Linked DNA regions of Diceros bicornis minor. The protein of the gene in region 2 interacts with the protein of the main gene of each other region in a pairwise test. Links are inferred from orthologs where the notes say so. Each region holds a gene or a part of one and is shown on either strand. Other genes may lie near its edges.

The links.
Region 1: the proteins of RPA1 (region 2) and RPA4 interact in binary tests that used the Homo sapiens proteins (3 or more experiments, as listed by UniProt). The link is inferred for Diceros bicornis minor from reciprocal best matches to the Homo sapiens genes RPA1 and RPA4.

What each region holds. Positions count from the first base shown.
Region 1 is NC_080781.1:90,647,596-90,657,810, reverse strand, and holds RPA4 (replication protein A 30 kDa subunit), read right to left. Parts: upstream 4,679-10,215; 5' UTR 4,151-4,678; coding exon 3,359-4,150; 3' UTR 3,280-3,358; downstream 1-3,279. Other genes in the region: DIAPH2 (protein diaphanous homolog 2), read right to left, coding at 5,758-5,897.
Region 2 is NC_080757.1:15,949,522-15,961,456, forward strand, and holds the start of RPA1 (replication protein A 70 kDa DNA-binding subunit), read right to left. Parts: upstream 4,593-11,935; 5' UTR 4,517-4,592; coding exon 4,484-4,516; intron 4,095-4,483; exon of another isoform or gene 4,017-4,094; intron 1-4,016. Other genes in the region: SMYD4 (SET and MYND domain-containing protein 4), read left to right, coding at 6,303-6,436. UniProt on the Homo sapiens protein: As part of the heterotrimeric replication protein A complex (RPA/RP-A), binds and stabilizes single-stranded DNA intermediates that form during DNA replication or upon DNA stress.

The DNA.
Region 1 (10,215 bases), on a different chromosome or scaffold from region 2:
GGTCCACACCCGGGATCCAAACCTGTGAACCCCTGGCTGCCGAAGCGGAGCACACAACCTTAACCACTGCGCAACCGAGCCGGCCCCATTTTAAATATTTTTAAAGATACCTGTAGGCCATCCAGGAAGATATTTGGAGACAGAGTCTGAATTTCGAGAGAGAGATCTGAGCTAGAAATATAAATCTAGGCGTCACAGGGACGGACACACACACACACACATACACTCCTAGAATAGTGCCAAGCAGATAGTAAGTACTATATAAATGTTAATTCTTATTATTTTAGTAAGAATTTCAGAAGTCAACTGAATTTAAGCTTATTAAACTGAAAGCTAACTAACACTTAAATGCATATAGTAGGTGCTCACTAAAGGTTTCATGAACGAAAATAATTCTTGGTGGTTACTTTTCTTGATTCATCATTATAAAAAGTAAATGGAAACTGAAAAAATATAAGATTTAAATTTCTCAGATTATACTCAAAATATAAATCTAAACTTAGTAATAAAATGATTACTAACAATTATGAAAACAGTAATAATATTAGCTTTGACTTGAAAACATTTTCAAATTTAGATATTCAGTCAACTAAGCATCAACTTCAATATAAATGCATATGTCTCATATGTCTACAAGCCATAGAAAAAAAACCCCAAGTAGATTATAATCATCACTTATGTTCTTCAGATTCCTCAGGCTTAAATGTCCCTGCCCAAAATGGTCAATAGTATTTCCCCAGGATTTGAATCTTATCCTCAAAGGTTTGGCTCACATATAGGGCAGGACTGGAGAGGAAGGGGAGCACTGGCCAAGTCATTCACTGTCTAAACAAGACTGAAAAAGAAATATGCATGCCAGGTGAATGGTTTTAAATGAATTTTTAACATCTGCTACCCCTAACGTGCATCAAATATGCATGTATAAGACAATCCAGCAATTGTTTTCTACCTAAACATGTTTGTTGATTTCCACTCACATTATAGCCAGACCTACTTACTATTCTCCCATTGCAGTCCCTTATCCTCTGCAGAATCCCACTAAAGCATGATTCCATTCAGAAGAATAAGGGGAAGACGGGTGCCCAGGGAATTAACAAAGCTGAAAAGAACCCCAAGGAACACAGAGGCCAGTTCCTCTCAGAGGATGGGGGCGAGGAAGAGGAGGAGTTGGTCCTCCACCTTAAATTCAGATGTACATGTTGCAACATATCAGTTCCCAGGCAGAAAGGCAGCTGAAAAGGGCTTATTTTGGTTGCTGTTTTCCTAGTTCTGGAGGAACATTCCTAGAGTGGGGAAAATGTGGCTACACATCCAACAGCCAGTTGAATCAACTCGGACAATTAACAGAGTGACCTATAAAGTCACAAATATCAGATTTTAATCTCAGGGTTCCTGCATTTGTATAAGTGATATCACAAAAGAATGATATGTCCCCTAGACTATTTCTTTCCACAATGAGATTCTGAGGAAGAAATATGCCCCTCGTTGCATTTCCCCCAGTGTGATTTTCCCCAGGGCAGGCAACCTTTTTCAAAAAAGAGTGGTTCCAAATTTCTTATGTTTATGAAAACTAGAATTTGCAAAAACAACTGATAATTTAAATGACAAATAGGTTTATAGTATGTTAACCATCTGTGGTTTTCAAAAGAGTGTCATTTATGATTTCTTTGCTTTTGAGGGGAAGAAAAGTGAAGTTTATGCCTCAGAAAGCTTAAGCAGGAACTGATGATAAATTTTTGTAAAGGCTGGCAAAGAAAGGTCATATACAGTTTTCCTGACTGTGGATTACTGGGAATGGTATTTTCTCTGTTTTTGCACCTTCTTTTTGTGACTCAATTAAGGCAAGTGATGCTTGTCTCTTCTACCTGTCTGAATGTATATATTTTTTTCTTTTCTCTAATGTAACAAAACTAGTAACTTAAAAGATACCATCATTAGTGTACATATAACTGAGGGCTTACTTTATTGAATTATTTAAAAGTCTCACGTAATTAATATAATCTATACTAAAATGTATTATTACAACTACGATATGTTACTGGTATTATATAGAGAAGAGAAAAAATTATTCTGGATAATTAAAATTATTAATCCTCAAAAACAAAAAAAAGGCCTTTTCAAATGTGTTTAGAAAAAAATTACACAGGAAATTCAAGATTTTGCAAAAATATTTTAATAAAACATTCAAATAAATTTCAGTTAAACTTGCTAAACTTAATATTCTTATAATTACTTCTTATTTGGTTACCTAATCTATAAGAACAAAACCTGTTATACATAAAGAAGAGCATTTAGTACTACAGATAACACATCAGAACAAAAAATTTACAGAAAGTGTGGCATCCATGTATCATGCAACTACAACAGATTGTAATTTAATCCAAATATTGCCATATCGCATTTGAAGTAATCATTAACCACATTTTAAGAAAAAAGTATTCAAAGATGACCACATTATATAAACATGGTATAATCTTACTTTTTATGAACATAAACCTATGGTAATAAGAGCAAATCACTCAATAAACACTTGAACTGAGCATATGAATTCATAAGTTGCTATCTTTAGCACATCTGAATTAATTACTGTATTTAACAAGAGATAACAATATGACTATAATAAGCTAAATCCAAACAGAGAAAATAAGTCTAATGTAAAAACAAAAATTTTTTTTTGTTTTTGTCTCTTAGCTGGCTCCCTGACTGCATCTATTTTCTTCTAATACACGGCTATTTCAGAAAAAGAAGCTCCCACACAACTAAATAATAATTTTCAACTTTCTCTATACCTTTTCTCCCCCAAATTCATCCATCCAGGAGTATTTTCATTTGCTTGCTGGTAAATCCTATAAAAAGTCCAATTTATCCATCCCCATCTCCCTCTGAGCTTCAAATATGTTAAAAAAACAGAAAAGTTCAAAGCAGTTGGAAAAGCAGTGATGTTCCAAAGAATGCCAGTTGAGATCTTTTGCTGAAAAAATCTACTTCCTAGGGCCGGCCCGGTTGGGCAAGCGGTTAAGTGCGCGCACTCCGCTGCGGCGGCCCGGGGTTCACTGGTTCGGATCCCGGGCGCGCACCGACGCACTGCTTGGTAAGCCATGCTGTGGCAGCGTCCCATATAAAGTGGAGGAAGATAGTCCCATATAAAGTGGAGGAAGATAGGCACAGATGTTAGCCCAGGGCCGTCTTCCTCAGCAAAAAAAACAAAAAAAAAAAAAAGAGGAGGATTGGCGGATGTTAGCTCAGGGCTGATCTCCTCACAAAAAAAAAAAAAAAAAATCTACTTCCTAAAAGTCAACAGGTCAAACTCACAGCTGGAGGCGAGGGTCTTCAGAAAATGAAAAATCTTTTCGCCGCTTCAATCCGCGGACTTAAAATGCTCCCCATCCACAGTGGGGTAGATGTGGCCCTCGACGGTCAGATAATCAATGGCTTGCTTGATGGTCCCGATGCTCAGGCTGCAAAGCTCGGTTTGGAGCTCTTGAATGCTCTTGCCTTGCTGTCGAGGACACTCATGAATCAAACGCAGCACCTCCTTCGAGATGAAGTCAGGGCAGTACTCGCCGTACTCCTGAGCCTCATCAACTTCCGGTGGGGCAACAGGTGCATTTTGCCCAGAGGCCGCTCGGCGGGCTTTATCCAGCACCATGTGCGCGTTGACCGTTTCCAGAATATGTGCGGTGAACTCGTTCATGTCCTCCAGGACGCGGATTTTCAATACCTCAAGGCTCTTCACCCCCGCAGAACATTTGAGGATACCGAACACTTTGGCGTATACTCCCACTGGCAGCGGAGTCATCCCCTGCTTTGCTTTATCTCTGCCGACCCACTGGCGGACCTCAATAGGCTTGGTGGTCATATCATCAATTCTGTAAAGAACGTAGTTTGGAGCCGGCTCTGCCTTTCGGATTATCCCCACGATAGAGACCCGGGAAACTTCAATTCCCCTAATCGTGAAGACATCATCAGCCAGAGTGGAGGTGAGCAGCTGGTTTACACAACAAGGTATAATATCCTGGATTCGGGCCCTGGATCTTGAGGGCTTAGCAGCAGGAGCTGTGCCGCCGCCCTGAGACGGTCGGTCATTGCTTCCGCTGGCTCCACCCGCGGCAGAGATGCTGCCATAGCTCCCAAACCCTTTCTTACTCATGTTGAAGGCAGCTCAGGCAGCTGAGGAGGTGCGGTCGGATCTAGTCGGTGAGTTCCAAAGGCGGCTCTGACCTCCACAGACCGCTTCCCGCGAAGGCTTGGGCTTGTGACGACACAAGCAGCCTCACGCGACCTCTGGAGCCAATCAGGACCTACCAGCTTCTTGCCTGATCCCATAATTCTTTGTAGTCGTCTGGCGGTTGCTGGGCTGCATTTTAAAAGGCCCCCCATGTAATTTTAAGCCTTTCCTGCCGCCTTTATAAAAGTACATTTTTACTAGGTTTTTCCCCCCCTTCATTCCTCAATGCCACAACTTCTTCTATAGTCACTTCTTAAAGACTCATTTACTCATTCAATCAATTAACCATTTAACAAAATTTTTCAGAGCCTATCATAAGTGCACTATGGTACAGTACAGTAGGTTGGGGGGGCGGCGGGGGGGGATGGGCGGGCCTAGGGGGGTGGATGGGGGTGAGAGGGAACCACCACGATGGTTACTGTTCTTAAAGAACTCACATCCTTGTTCAAAGCATTAAAACTGGAAGCATTCTGGAAGAAATGGCAAGACAGCTACCTTTGAATGATTATCATATTCAAAAGTAAGTCACATCTTACCACTGTCTTTTTAAACTTTTTATTACAAAATTGTAAATTCCCAGTTATTCTACCAAATGCACTAAAGGAAAAAATAAATAATGTGATATATTTCAATTTATACATAAATCAAAATAGAATAACTGAGCTCTAAATTATTTTCAAGGCTCTGTGGATAGGTCAGAGAAATACAAGATGTCAGCCTCATTATATATTAGGAAAAACATGAGTAAAATCAAAATACAGTTTCTATATACCCTTATCCAGGAATTTCTGAATTTAAGATTCTAGCAATTATGTAAGCAGATCTCAGAATATTTTCATATTACATTGAAAGTCTATTTTTTCTTATAAAAATATTTTATTTTGGATGTAATTAATTTAAAGGCTTTTTTTATGGTTAATAAAGCAACATCAGTTACTGGAATCCACCATTGGCAAGGAACTTCTTCCTTAAAAATTCTTTGTAGTTAGGTAATAGCCTAAATGTGTATAGTTTTGAGGAGTTTATTAAAACTTGCTCTCATTTCTTTTATTGTTTAAAATAATTTAATTTTTGCCATCCCAAATTACAGAAATGTGTGAATAGTATATCTAAAACTTTTAGAAGCATATAAAATTATATTTACTTCTCAGGTTAAAAAGGAATAATATCATAGAGCCAATTACTTCATTTGTTTTACAAATAAATACATAATAATTGTTATATGAGTACACAGATTTCCATGTAAATGTGGATATTTAACTTCTGGATCCATGTTTTATATAATCAAAGAGGAATTAAACATCCAAGTAATATTTGTATTCTTAAAATTCTGTTATTAGAGATGATATTAAGATGATATATTTTTTAAATGTTTACAACCTCATAATCAGACACTGCTGTTTTATTAGCTAACTTCAGACTTCTGTTCAGAAAATCTTGAGGTTACAATGACATAACTGATTATATTCCCAACAATTATATACAGTACAAATTGTATGAATCATACCAAAACAGTAAGAACCACCTACCTGACAGGATTGCTGGTTAAGGAAACTCTCAGAGATTCTAGGCAATTAAGAAGTTTCTCATCTGAAATACCAGATCGTAATTCATGAACGTATTCTTGTGAAGACAGGGTGCATTCATGTTTGCTGTTTTTCAGTCCTCCCTGTAAAAAATAAACAAATAAATACCACTTTAGACAAATGACAGGTTTTAAAAAACCTTTTAAAATAAAATAATGCATAGAATATGTGAATATTTTACTGCATAATGTGTGCAGAGAGCTAGGCATGTAAAAATTCTTGGTCGCAGAATTGATGTGGTAAAATCATATTGCATATATGTCAACACTCTCCCTAGCCTCATTTAAAAGAAAATTACACTGCTGGTGCTCATGGCCTGAATAGAATATGGACTTGAGTTGCATAAAGTGTCACTGACAAGGATGCTTAAATTTACAGTCCAAGCATTAGGATTAACGTTAGCTGGTTCTTCTTAACCACAGAATGAACATTTAGAAATCATCTTATTAATTTTCCTAGCTAAGATATTTATATTCTATTCCACAAAATACAGTGAACAAAATTGAATATAAAACATTATACATAACCCCAATCCATTGAGATATATCAGAGTATCAGCCTATTTCAAAAAACAAATGAAAACGGTTATTAAATGTAAAACAATATAGTCTCCAGTTAGCATGTTAGTTAATCAAATTAGTCTAAAGCATTCACCAATTCCCAACTATTCATTCCTAACTATGTTACTCCCATGTTGTAGATTAATCTTAAAAAGTCATTGAATGCATTTATCTGATAGCGACTAGTTTTTAGCTTAATTTCCAATATACGGGAGTTATTTCTAGAACTCATTATCTCATCACAGCTCCTTAGCTTCATCACCTTGCCATAACTATGTAAGTAGTTTGGGGAAAAGGCTGGGAGAAAAACATCATCAACACATTCATTGTACTAATAACTCATAGTTTCACATTCTAGACACACATAATCATAACTTCCCCTTTCCTATATTACAAACATATCCCCCTGAATTAAAACTCTAGCATAAGTCCCATTTTCTAAGTTCATATGAATTACACTCAGTTTCTGCTAAGTATCTAAGCTAAAATACGGAAAGCAATTTTTTTTTCCATTTGGTAGAAGTCATATCATTAGAGGATATAGAATTTTTTAAAAAACCAATGTGTTAATAATGAGAAATGGATTCCCTAGGGTTTCATACTCTTTGGCTTTTTATTGAGAACGCCTCCTCAATATAGTAATTGTCAATCATTCTCAACGTCTGAATTTTTAAAAATTCCATTAAATAGTAAATGTTTAAAGTCTGCTAAAGTCTATGTAGGGGAATTGTATTTCCTTATAGCGCTGTGGCACTGTCACTCTTACAGCACTTAAGACATTGGGACAGAGGTCATAAGTTCTAGTTCTAGACTGGGAACTCCATGTATGCCAAGCATCTAACACAGTGACTGACTTTAGTGAGCCCCAACAAAAGTGTGCTGTTATTGAATCTGTCCATTACAATTACAGAACAAGGAATACAACTTCATACTTTCAGCTCCCATATTTTGTGTAATGGCCACTGACTTGATTTTTCTTGCTTTGTTAGAATATACAGTAGATGTTCAAGAAGTCTACTAGATGAATCACCACATAGATGCACCGTAAGTAAAAACATCACCATGAAATCATTTCCACGTATCTATAACATATTTACCCATCTCTTTAGGCTACAGATCCACAAAGAATAATAGCAAGTAAACATTTATAGCATAAAATTTTGCAAGTCTACAGTCACATACCACTTCCGTATGATCCTCAAACTTGTTTTCTTAATTAATGGATAACAAGGCCCTACTGATCCTCCCCTGGAGGCTTGTATATAGAGCTTATTCCTGTAGAACGACCTTTGTATTTGCTGTATTCTCTGCCTAAAAGACTCTTACCCCTGACCTCTCCATTGCTGGCTCTCATCATTTAAGTCTCAGCCCAATAGTCTTCTCTCCTCCACACTCCAGTTATCATCCCAACATCATTTTAAATCTCATTTATAGTATTAGCTCTATATAAGTTTATCTTGTTTAGCACTTTATTTGTTTACTGTGTCTTCCTCATTAAAACATAAGCTCTATGAGGCAAGAATCTTGCCTACCTTGTTCACCACTGTATCTCCAGATCTTAACACAGTGCTTGGCACACAGTAAGTACTCAATACATATTCATTGAATGAATGAATGGATGGATGGATGGATGGATGGATGGACAGATGGTTAATAAACAAACGGGTGAATGACTGATGAGTTTCAACATGAAGAAGCTTCCAAACTCAGTTTAGTTTTGCTTCAGAATATTACAGTTCTAAGATGTTCCATTACAATATATTTCGAGATGCTAGTAACAGCTCAAACAGCTCAAACTGCCACTGGGTTTGAATCACGGCTCCCTCACTTACCTTCTAGATAATCTGTGAGCAGGCTATTGAACTAATCTCTATAAACCTGTTCATTAATCCATGATATACGGGTAATAAACACCTACCCCACATGTTTGTTACGAGGATTAAGACAATGCATATAAAGTGCCTAAAATGGGCATTTCCTATGTGTTGCCTCATAGACAGAGTAAGCTGCTCAGAAAATGTTAGTTCCTGTCTGCCTTACGGTCGTGGCTAAGATACTCTTTATGGAACAACTGGGCCAGCCCATCACATTGGGACTTACCTCTTCCCCAGGTCTTAGAAATAAGTTTAAGTTGTATAATTTAGGATACTCTGTGGTTATAAGGAGTGGAAGCAAACAATCTAATGGAGCAAGACAGAGAATATATAACCTTATAAAACAAATGCCTTTTATCAAGTTAGAAGGATTCTGGGGTTTTAACATAAGTTCATATTTGAAAACATGATAGCATGTAAAGGCTAGACCAGCCCTTCTAATACCCTCATTACAGAAATAGAGAATCAAGGTGATTGGAAAGTTCACATAATTAGTGAGGTTGTGAGAATAAAACACTAATATTCTGGTCCTCAGGTTACTTCTTTTTCCACTATATGTCACTTTTTCTTATTATGGAATGAAAAATTAAAGCAACAAGTATTTAATTCTGAAATCTCTATTACAAAATGTCAAAGTATCTTTAGCATAGTCAATATGGTGCAACATAATATTAAAGAAATCACCTAAAAACAAAACAGTGCAATAGATTAAACTAATTCTCACTATATTTAATAGGGCTGTAATACAAAAATGGCTTATTATTAACATCCTGTTCTGATACTGAACAAAGGAAACAACTAGATAATGGATGGATAATAATGGAAATTTTAATTAGCTGCTCTGTATGAGATTAATGAAAATTACCACTGTGCCCATTTGATCTCTAAAAAATACTGCAGACAAAGTGAGCAATTAGCGTACATCATGCTATTCCAAAGCTAGGTGAACAAAAAGCTTTCCTAATTTGAAGCCATTCCTTAATTTGAAAATCATTAGGATGGAGATCCTTGTCAGTGTGACTGTGCTTGTATTATTCTAAGACACTACACAGAGAACCCAAAGGTTCTTTGGGTCAGTGTAATAATCTCGTTCCCCTTACTCTGAGATGAAACGTTAGTATCAAAACCAGACGAGCAATATTCTAAAAAGAACATTTTAAGTTTGCCGTGGAGATACCACTTCGGATTTTAGATTGACTTAGTCTGAGCATGATCTGTCATTCTTTAATGTAAATTCTGATTTACTTATAATTTGAGGAAAGGCTTCATAGTTCTAAGTTGTCAAGGTATCTTGCTGCAGACACTGGAAGAACTATTGATTGTACACAGATCTTTTCAACTACAGCATGCACACAAATAGCAATTACTATCAGGGGTGTCATCTTCAAATAGGAAGGATAATATTATTGTCATGAAAACAATAATTCCATTACTGTCATTGACCATGATTTATAAACCCTAATGTAGTCAGGTTTCTTTGGCTACTTTAATTAAGTGAGATTCTTAGCTATCACTGCAGATCTCTGAAAAAGGAAGGTTACAGATTAACAAATTTGGAACTATATCTATACACAGAGTTGTTCTTTAAGAGGCTCCTATAACTTTAAAAGCATAAGAAATGGAAAAGCCATTTTCATCATCATCAGTTCCTTGAGTTCCAGTAGGAAAACACAAAACAAATGTTTGATCTAAGTCAATCTACATATTTATTCTAATAATGATGTATTTGGTGGACTATAGGACTCTGAATATATTGTTAAACCTTTAGATGGCTTCTCTGCAGTTATATAAGAAAAACATCTCATCAAGGGAGATTATTAGAATTAAGTAATTTATCCAAATTTATCCAATGTTTCCAAAAAATACAAAAGGTATTTTAAAATAAATATATCACATTACAACATTTTAAATAATTTTATATGCAATTTGCAGTGAAAATTCTTTAAACTGCATGAAAAATACTGCAT
Region 2 (11,935 bases):
CTGCACACTGAAAAGTACAAAACACTGAGAGAAATTAAAGAAAACCTAAATAGGGGACAGTCCCCTGGCGTAGCAGTTAAGTGCACGCACTCCACTGCTGGCAGCCAGGGTTTGGATCCTGGGCGCACACAGACGCACCGCTTGTCAGGCCATGCTGTGGCGGCGTCCCATATAAAGTGGAGGAAGATGGGCACGGATGTTAGCCCAGGGCCTATCTTCCTCACCAAAAAAAAAAAAAAAGAGGAGGATTGGCATGGATGTTAGCTCAGGGCTGATCGTCCTCATCAAAAAAAAAAAAAAAGAAAAAGAAAACCTAAATAAATGAGAGATATACCAAGTCCATGGTTTGAAAGACTCAATGTCTGTAAGACGTCAATTGACCCCAAATCGATTTATAAATACAATGTTCTATCAATCAAAATCCCATCAGGCTTTCTTTATCAGAAACTGACAAGCTAATTCTAAAACGTATATGAAAGTACAAAGAACCTAGATTCAGTAAAACAATTTTGAAAAAGAATGAAGCTGGGGAATTTACACTATCCAATTTCAAGACTTACTATAAAACTACAGTTATGAAGACAATACGGTATTGGTCTAAGCATCAACATATAGAGCAGTGGCAGAATAGACATTCCAGAAACAGACCCACACATATATAGATTAATTTTTATCAAAGGTAACAAACAATGTTATTCAACGGAACACTATAGTCTTGACAACAAATGGTGCTAGAACAACTGAATACTTCATGGGAAAAAAATGATCCATACACAATACATAAAAAAATAAACTTGAAATGGATTACAGACCTGAATACAAACTAAAACTATAAAACTTCTAGAATAAAACACAGGAGAAAAGATTTGTGACCTTGGGGTAGGCAAAGATTTCTTAGGACACAAAAACACGATTCAGAAAAGGAAAAAAAAAATAAAGTGGACTTCATCAAAATTTAAAACTGTTCTTCAAAAAAACACCATTAAAAGAATGAAAAGGCAAGCCTCAGATTGGGAGAAAACTTATGTAATGCTTGTTATTTAACAAAAGACATATCCAGATTAAATAAAGAATTCTTACAACTAATTAATAGGAACACAACCCAATTTTTAAAATTTTACCAAATACAAATTAAAACCACAGTCAGATACCACTACACATTCACTAGAATAGTTAAACTGACAAAACTAAGCGTTGGTGAGGATTTGGAGCGACTAGAACTCTCATAACTACTTTGGAAAACAGTTTGGCAATTTCTTATAAAGATAAACATTCAGTTACCATATGACCCAGCCATTTCACTCCTAGGTATTTATCCCAGAGGAATGAAAACATATTTCCACAAAAAGACTTGTATATAAATGTTCATAGCCTCCTCACTCATAATAGCCAAAAAATGAAAATAACCCAAATGTTCAACAACAATAGGGAAATACACAAATTGTGTTTTCTCATACAATGGAATACTACTCAGCATTAAAAAGGTGCAAACCACTGAAATAACATGGATAAACCTCAAAAAACATTTTGCTGAGAGAAAGCCAGACACAAAAGGGTACCTATTATTTGATTCCACTTATATGAAGTTTTAGAACAGTCAAAACTAACTTAAAGAGATAGACACCAGAACCCAGAGCAGTGGTGCCTGGGAATGAGCAGGGGATGGGGAAGCAGCAGGAGACTGGGGTGGTGTGGTTACAGGAGTATATACAACAAACTGCACACAGTTTGATGAGTTTTTATTATATGTATTCATCATATGTATTATAGTTTTTATTACAGGTAAATCAAACTGAACTTCAATAAACATGATTTTAAAAAGTAGCTGTTTCTAGGGAACAGAACTGGGGCAAGGTGGGGCAGTGGGTCAGTAACTTCATCAAACACCTTTCTGTTCTATTTGATTTGAAAACCGCATGCAAGTATTACTTTATTATTCTTTTTAATTTGTGTCATCATTAATAGTGAATATAAGATTTACTCTTCTAGGACATATAGCATGATATGTACACTTGAGACAAAACTGCCTTAACTTTCCCAAACTAACATTGCTAACAGAAATACAAAGCAAAAGAATGTAATAGTCAAGGGCACATGCGTTCAAATCCTCACCCCACTGACAAATTATTTACCTTCTTTGCACTTTAATTTCTTCATCTGTAAGACGAGGGTAATGATAAAATTCTACCTTACAGTGTTACTGTAAATAGTGACTACTATAAAGTATCTGGCACACTGGAAATGGTCAAAAATTAGTTCTCTTCCCCTTTCTTTATATTACCGATTACTTACGAGACAAATGCTCTTTATTCTATTTACCACAATAGTTCCATGCATAATCTCTTATTTCATGATGTTAGCTCTTGCCCCAAATGCCTCTACTATTTGTGTTAGTTGCTTATCCTTTCAGGCCTGTGTCTTTTGAACTGAAATGACACTACTTGCTTTAGCCGGTAATCAAAATTGACAAGGGTTCTCCACACTCCGTCACCACAAACACAAAAATTTTCTTGGTCATTTATAAATAAAACCTAAGTAATACTTCACCTAACACTGGAAATGTTTCCAAAATTTTGAATATAGCAAAAACTAATCAAATTATTTAAATAACACCAGGATCCTTCTTTTTAAAAGTGAAGAACAATTCCTAATTTGTCTTCAAGACATAAGGTAGCAGCTGTAAAGTAAATGAGGACTACAATTCGCAATCACTTCTCAGGACTAATTATTCCTAATTTACTCAAATATTCACTCGACTCTGCCAACTGTTCTTCCCCATCCATCTCTGCCCCTTTCTTTTCACTGCCTCATAGGCACCTAGACAACATTTACTGGGCACCTCAAACTTGCCAGCACTGCTCCAGGTACTGGAGAGACTATGTTGAGCAAAACCACAGGCATAATTTCAGGCCTCAAAGAATTTACAATTGGGGGGGAGACAGAAAGTAACTGTTATTAATCAAATAAACAAATAAATGTAAAATTACATCTGTGATTATTAATAATAGGCAACATATACTGAGCATTTACTCTGTATCAGACAGGGACTAAGCACTTTAAATGTAAGTGCTCACTTAATCCTCCCACTAACCTTAGGCAAGAAGTACTAGGTATCATTAGTCTCATTTTACAGAAGAGGAAAGGCAGAGTTTAGTATCCTGCCCAAAATCATAACAGCTAATAAGTGAACAAACAGGAATTAGGGTCTCAAAATAAAGGGATTTAGCCTAGCAAGGGAAGTCAAAGAAGGTTTCTCTGAGAAGTAACTGAGCTGAGATATGAAGATTATGTTAGCCACTGAAGGGAGACTAAAGAGCCACCTAGGCAGTAGGCAGAGGGAAAAGAATGGTCAAAGGCCCTGTGGAAAGCAAGAGTATGGAATATACCAGGAACTTAAATAAAAAAAAAAAGCCTGGAAAGGAGGAGAGAACAAGTGGGAATATGCTATGATGGGAATGGCAGGAGGATGATTATGCCGGATGGAAGTGAGTAGTCCAGGCCAGAAACGATGGTGTCAATGTCGATGGAGAGAAGTAGATGGATTTAAGAGATACATGTAGTAAAACACACCGGACTTGGTGATGGACTGGACCTCAGGCTGATGGAGTTTGTAGGAAGAATGATTCCACAATTTCTGGCTAGCATAACTTAACGGATAATGGTGCCATTCATCCAGCTGGGGATCAGAGGCCCAAACTTAGGAAGATAATGTATTTGCTTTGCGACATGTTGAATTTAAAATGCCTTTGAGATATCAGGTAGGCAGACAGATTACAAAGGTTTGTCTTTCAGAGTAAAGGTGGCTCCGGACAAAGACATTAGTGAGCAATTGACATATGGATGGTAATGAGGTTGTCCTGGGAGAATAGAGCCTAGAGAACAGCCATGAGTCAACAGAAATTTACAAAGAGGGACCTGCAAATAAGACTGGGAAAGACCAGCCCACCTGAGCCACAAAAGCCAACAGTAGAGGGTGTTATCAGAAAGAAAGAATACTCAAGAGACTCAAACGCTGCTGAGAACGCTGGTAAACTGAAAACCGAAACCTGTCTATTGGATTTAGCGACTTGGAGGGACTGCTACCTTCAGCCAAGGTTACTTCTATGTGATCCTAGAAGGGACCGACTACAGTCGGTTAAAGCGTTAATGGGAGATGACGACATGAAATAGCTGAAAACAGACAAGTCTGCAGAAGTTTGGCCGTGGGCGGAGGAAGGGGAGGAGACAGAGGGCGCGGGAGGGAGATGGAAAATCAACAGTTTATTTTGCTTCGTTTTCTTAAGCAGGAAAAACATGAGCATGTTTACAAGACGATAGGAAAAACCGTGTGATTCTAGGGAGTCAGCCGGCGGTTCCCCCCCGCATCCCGCGCCCGCTGTCTCCTCCTCTCGCGTTCTCTCCCCACGGCCCCCAGCTCCTCTCCCCCTTCTCCACCCGCAGAGCCACCCTAGCCCGCCGGCCCGGCTCGCGGCCGTCTTCTCACCGCAATGGCCCCCTCGCTCAGGTACCCCACCATGGCTCCAACGCGCCAACTCCCGCGCTCCGGCTTCTGCGCAGCCCGCACTTCACTCCCCGGGGACCCCACGCTCCAAAGCAATTGGCCCGAGGCGCTGCGTGCGCCGCTCCCGCCTCCCGGCGTGCGCACGGCGCAGGGGCGGGCCTAGGGGCCGAGCAGCCCTCTCATTGGCCGAGGCGCGGCGGGCGGCCTAGGTGATCCGCCCGTGCCCAGGTTGGGGGCCTGGTCGCAGGATGGCGGGGCCCGGGGGCGGGGCGCCAGGCCGCCGGGCGCGCCGACGGTGACGCGGACGCAGCGAAGCGCGCGGGTGGCCAGTTCCGGGAGCTTTCCGAGCTGGGTTTCGGAAACAGACCGGCTCAGTCTTTGGCGGGCAGACCGACAGGTAGCCCAGAGAATTAGTGCTGCTCCCTGATAACTCTGCTGCTAAATGTCGTCGAAGCAGTGACTTGATTCCTTCAGCAGCCCGGTGCTGAGCTCCCGCCGGTGCCAGACCCTGCGCTTGGCACAGTGGGGGGCTCTGAAGGTAAATAAGACCCGGTCCCTGCTTTCAGAGAGCACAGTCTGTCCAGGAGTTTCCGCTGTGAGTAGCCGTAACTCAAGGTAGACGGGGTATGGGCCCCAGGAGAGAGAGACAGTGTGCTGTGATCACGGATGGAAAATCAGGGAAGGCTTCCCGGAGGAGTTGTCATTTGCACTGAGTCTTGAAAGATGTGTGGAAATTTGCCAGCTGGACTGCAAGTGAGGGTAGGGATGCTCCCGGAAGCATGAATAGTTTATGCAAAAACTAGGCAGATGAACAGCCTGGCAAGCTGGGGATAGCTTTGAGTAGCTCAGGATAGTAGGATACAGAGGAAGAAGTGAGACTTGAGCATTAGAAAGTAAGGCAAGGGTCCGGCCGGCCCGTGTTAAGTGCCCGTGCTCTCCTACTGGTGGGCCCAGGTTCGGATCCCTGGCGAGCACCCACGAAATGCTTGTGTGGCCATGCTGAGGTGACATCCCACATACAGCAACTAGAAGGATGTGCAACTATGACATACAACTATCTACTGGGGCTTTGGGGAGAAAAAGGGAAAAAAAAAGGAGGAGGATTGGGAATAGATGTTAACTCAGAGCTGGTCTTCTCAGCAAAAAGAGAAGGATTGGCATGGATGTTAGCTCAGGGCAGATTTTCCTCACAAAAAAAAGTAAGGCAAGGGTCAAATAATGAGGGATTTGTACTTGGCTTCCCTGTGCTAGGAGGAGCTATTGATGAATTTAAGGCAAAGGACTGACATCTGCCTCACTGTGGAAGATGGATTGAATGGGGGGAGGGTGTTACTGAGGGCATGGAGACTAGTTATGACACTCTAGAAAGAATGCCAGACAAGAGATAGTGAGGGCTTGAACTAAAGGAATGACCTAGGGATAAGAAAAAACCGAACTAGAGAGAGATATTTACTTAATAGTTGCTGGGCAGAGTGAGAAAGGAAAATCGGGATGTCTCTCAGGTTTCTGACTTGAGCCTAGGGTAGATGGAGGGCTAAGAGGACAGATCGTGGCTAGCTGATCACCTAGTGGTGCCTAGAACAAAGTAGGCTTTCGGTAAATATTTCTGAATGAAAGGATGTTGAGTGAATTGGTGTGAGAGAATATAGATCCTTCCTCAGCATATAAACAGCTATAGAAAAAGACCACGAGAATTGATTTTGTTGCTTCATGCTGGCTTAAATGAAATCTTGACTAGAATTGTGCATTTGTACAAATTGAATTCCTCATTTTCTTATTCGTTTTATAGATCTAAAGTAACATGGATCTGCCCGTGGATGAGTGGAAATCGTATGTCCTTCAGAAGTGGTCTTTGCTCCCGATGTCGACTCAGGTCACAATTTCTACAGCAGAGACTGTGAGAGATATTTTTCTTCACTCCTCTTCGCTTCTTCAGTAAGTGAGGGGAAGCTTTTTTTTTTTTTTTTTTTAAGATTTTATTTATTTATTTTTTTCCCCAAAGCCCCAGTGGATAGTTGTATGTCATAGCTGCACATCCTTCTAGTTGCTGTATGTGGGACTCGGCCTCAGCATGGCCGGAGAAGCGGTGCCTCGGTGCGCACCCGGGATTTGAACCCAGGCCACCAGCAGTAGAGCATGCGTACTTAACTGCCAAGCCACGGGGCTGGCCCCATGAGTGGAAGCTTTAACCAGGGAAATTTTGATCTGCAAAATGTTCTCTTTTGTCATTTGCTTTCAAGTTATATCTCTTTTTTTTTTTTTTTTTGTGAGGCAGATCAGCCCTGGGCTAGCATCCATGCCAATCCTCCTCTTTTTTTTTTTTCTTTTTCTTTTTGCTGAGGAAGACTGGCCCTGAGCTAACATCTGTGCCCATCTTCCTCCATTTTATGTGGGATGCTACCACAGCATGGCCTGACAAGCGATGCGTCTGTGCACGCCTGGGATCTGAACCCGGGCCGCCAGCAGTGGAGCACGCGCACTTAACCACTACGCCACGGGCCGGCCCCAAGTTATATCTCTTTTTAATGGAAGGATTAAGCTCAGATTTTTATATTTGGGGGCATTCAGCAGTTCTTGCTATTATCAGTGTTTTCTAACCTACTGTTATAGAACAGGTAGGGATGCTATTTAGCTTTTTCAGTGTCAGTACAATGTTTCAATAATCATGCCTTGCTATAGTCACTAGGCTGTGAGCCCTGCCATATCCCAAAGGATATAGCGGAGATTTATTAGCTGCACGTAGAAATTCATAAGCGCTCAAATTTGACAGGACCTTAGAGGTCATATAGTCTAATCCCAGTAGTTTTCAAACTCTCTTGACTACACTCCTCAGTAAGAAATACACTTTGCATCACAACCTAGTACACATATACATATGTAGAAAACTGAAACAGGAGTTTCCCAAAACTTGATTCAGTAAATTTTTGTTGATCACCTATTTTGTGCCAGCCACTGTGCTATATGTTTAGTGAACAAAAAAATACATCAGTAAACAAAAAATAGACAAAGATCCTTACCTTTGAGAGGTTAATTCTAGCGAGGAGGAACAGACAATAAACATCATAAATAAGTTAAGTATATAACGTGTTAAAGGTGATAAGTACAGAAGGAAAAAAAAGAACAGGGTAGGGGAAACAGACAGTGCTAAGAGCAAGAGTGCGGGTTGTAGTATTAAATAGTCTGGTCCGATAGGCCTCATTGAAAAAGTGAAAGTTGAGCTAAGTCTTGGAGATACAGGCGTTAACAAAGTAGATATCTGAGAGAAGAGCGTTCCAGGTGGAGATCCTAAGGTGAGAGAGTGTCTGGCATGTTCAAGAACAGCAGGAAGGCTAGTGTGGATGAACAGAGTAAGCCAGAGGGAGAGTAGGGGGAAATAACATCAGAGAGGTAATAGGACATGCACAGGGGCTCGGGGAAAGCAGGTAGCACAAATCGTGTTGGCCCTTGTAAGTGCCTTGTCTTTTTACTCTGAGGAGGAAGTTATTGCAAGGTATCGTAGGCAGATTTCTAAAGGTGGCCCACGGCATTCTTGTCCCCTGGTTATTCAATCTAACATTAACCTAAGTGCTGCTGTGAAGGGATTTTGCAGATGTAATGAAAATCCTAAATAAATTGACCTTGAGATACAGTTATCTGGGTGGGCCTAACCCAGTCTGATGAGACCTTTAAAAGCAGAGAATTTTTTCCAGCTGGTAGTGGAAAGGGAAATCAGAGAGATTCAAAGCAGGAGATTTGAATGTGCTTTTGCTGACATTAAAGACGGAGGGGACCACATGACAAGAATGCAGGCAGCCTCTAGAAGCTGAGAGTGCTTTCTGGCTAATAGCCAACAAGGAGATGGGGACCTCAGACCCACAGTTACAAAGAACTGGCTTCTGTCAACATCCTGAATGAGCTTAAAAGAGGATTCTTTCCCAGATCCTCCGTGTAAGTGGTCACCTTGATTAGCCTTGTGAGACCCTAAGCAGAGAACCCAGTCAAGCCTGCCTGGACTTCTGATCTACAGAACTGTGAGGATAGTCAATGGGTGTTGTTTTAACCTGCTGAATTTGTGCTGATTTGTTACGTAACAATAGAAAACTAATTCACAGGGTTTTAAGAGAAGAGTGATATGATCTGATTATCTTTTAAAGCAGAGGTCAGCAAACTACAGCCTGTGTAGTAAATCCATCCACTGCCTGTTTTTGTATGGCCATCAACTAAGAATGGTTTTTACAGAGAAACGTTTGTGGTTGATTTGATGTTAGGGAACACTGGCTTTGAACTCCAGTTAAGCAAATTGATATCTATTTTTTAAAAAAAAGAATTCCGTTTTTCTCATTAGTAGACCTGTATTATAAAAATATTATACTCAATTATTATTATATTTTGAATTTTGTCAATAAAAAGTTTTTACAAATGTGTTTCCTTATTTTTTATAGAAGTACCTATGTAATAGCCTCAATTTTACCTCTTAGCCCACAAAGCCTAAATATTTACTCTCTGGCTTTCTACAGAACATTTGCTGACCCCTGTTTTAAAGGATTGCCCTGACCACTGTGGTGATGATAGACTATAGCTGGAGCAAGAGTGGAAATAAAGAGACCTGTTGGGAGGCTACTGCATGAATGTAGGTGAGAGAGGAGGTGATGGTAACTTGGACCAGGGTGGTAGTAGTGGGGGAGTGATGAGAAGTGGTTGGATTCTGATGATAGACTTAATAGCATTTCCTGATGGATGGGATATGGTGTGTTAGAAAATGAGAGAAGTAAAACATGACTCTAGGGATTTAGGCCTAAAGGGCCAAAGGTAGAAGGATGAAATTACCGTCACTTGGGAAGGCTGCAGAAGGAGCTATTTGAGGAAGGAAGATCTGGGGTTCATATTTCAGTTTGAGATGTCTATGAGACGTCCGAGTGGAGATGTCCAAGTGGTCGTGGAGTTCAAGAGAAAGGCCTGGGCTAGAGATGTAAATCTGGGCGTTGTACATGGCATTTTGAGCCATGAAACTGGTTAAGTTCACCAAGGAAGACAGTGTAGATGCCTACTGCATCTGATGTACTTTGTATTTTCCCTCCTACTTACCTCATTTAAAAAGTACTCATCAGGACCAGCTAAATTGATTTCACGACCCATTGCATCATGACCTGCAGTTTGAAAAATAGTGTGTGAAGCTCTGCAGGTCTGTGGATTCCTTTTACAGAATTTCCAGAAATGATGGAGAACTGCCAATGAAAACTTTGGATAATAGGCAGAGTTTTCCAAAGATAGCTGATATAGTGTACTAACCAGCAAAAAGGAATAATTCATGAGAATCATTTGACATTTTGGTGCACTGAAAGAAATATAAATCAAAGAAGAGGATTTAATTAGGCTTTGTGGGCTAAGAGGTAAAATCGAGGCTATTACATAGGTACTTCTATAAAAAATAAGAAAACACATTTGTAAAAACTTTTTATTGACAAAATTAAAACGCCATTTAATATTGGCGTTCCTCAAGACTCCAGCCTAGCCTCTCTCTCTTTTTCACTCTGTATTCCCAACCGATGCAGCCTCATTCACACCCATGTCATCAACTACCTCCTATATGCTGATTACCCTCAAAATTATATCTCCAGCCCTCACTTCTCCTCTGAGACTCAAATCGTTAAATCCACCTGACTACTTAAAGTCTCAAAGATACTTAAAAGTCAACACATCAAAAACCAAACTCACAATCTTGCCCTTAAAATTGGATTCCCTTCCAGTGGTCCCCATTTTAGTGAATTGCACTGCCTTATTTCACTTCCTAAAGGTAGAAACCTATGAACCATTCTATATTAAACAGCTGCCATGATTTTCCGCCTGTCTATGTCAGATCATTGTGATCCCTTAGTGAATTACACCACCATCTGTCCAGTTCCTACCCAGAAACCTAGGAGTCATGCCTGATATTTCCTTCTTCCTCACGCCTCATATTAAATCTATTCCCAAATTTTGTCTGTTGCAGGACTATGAATGCTAGATTTCTTTCACATTTTGCAAATAGGACTTCTTCTTCTGGGTAGGATATGATAGGTCACAACAGACAACACTCCATTACAACTAAAAAAAAAAATTGATGTTGTAATACTCATATTTTTAAAGACATCAGACAGTGATGAGGACTAGATGGACTAAAATTCCAAAGAGGGAAGATTCCTTCCTAGGTGATCACCAGCCATTGTCTTTTCTGGGGGTAATTAAATGCTGAGGATCAGGCTGGCCCTAAGCACAGGGATTATCCTGGGGGAAACTGAAACTAGCAGACCTTTTGGCGATCATTTGGGGCCGATGTGATGGATTGGAAACTAGAGGAGGCCCAAGCTCAAGGCCCAAATGCAAAGTCAGTTCGCCTCATGGGACATTTACTGAGTTCTCAGGAAGTACAGGAGGCCACTCAAAAAGGCAGAATGAAATCTCCTGCGATCTTGCAGTGCTGAGGACCAAAATCCCACTAGTGGAAAGGGACCTGCAACACACAAGCAATCTCTTTGTCAAGACATTTGCCGGATTTTGAACCTCTGTGGTGTGGTAAGTTAAAAATTGAAGTTCAAAATGTCCTAAGACCAAAACTTTCAGGCATGAGCAGACAGAGACTTTCCAGGCTCTTAACCAAAAACTCAGGAGGGCTACGCCCAAGGAACAGGGAGAAAGCAGAGGTGTACTGAGTTTTAATGAAACTGTAGCCCAACCCTGATCCAGCTCAATTTTTGATTGGATAAGGTAGGCCAGCCCCTCTTCTTCTCTTCCTAACATAGGAAAGGGGGCACTTTTGTGGTGGAAGATGTCATCTAGCTTCATTACGTCTTCTATCTACAGTGTCAGGAATACAGGTAAAAATTACGAAACATGCAAAGGGGCATAAAAGTGACCAATAATGAAGAGAAAAAATAAACATTAGAACTATATCAACTGATGTCCACATATAGGAGTTAGTAGACAAGGACTTTAAAATAACTATGATACTATATTTAAGAAAATGGAGGAAAAGTTGACAAAGTAGATGAAAAGATAGATTTCAGCAGATAATTGGAATCTATAAAAAAGAATTAAATGGAGATACTTAGAGTAGTCAAAATCATAGAGACTGAAAGTAGAATGGTGGCTGCCAGGGGCTGGGGGTGTGGGAAATGGGGGGTTATTTAATGAGTATAGTGTTTCAGTTTTACAAGATGAAAAGAGTTATGTGTGGATCATGGTGATGGTTACACAACATTATGAATGTATTTAATACCACTGAACTATATACTTTAAATGGTTAAGATGGTAAATTTTATGTTATGGGTATCTTACTACAGTAAAAACAATTTTTTTAATGATTGAGACAAAAAGAATCAAATGACCTTTTTAGAATTAAAAAATAACATGACTGAAATTAATTGAATTCTTAAGCTTGACAGCAAATTGGATACCGTGGAACACAGGATTAGTAAA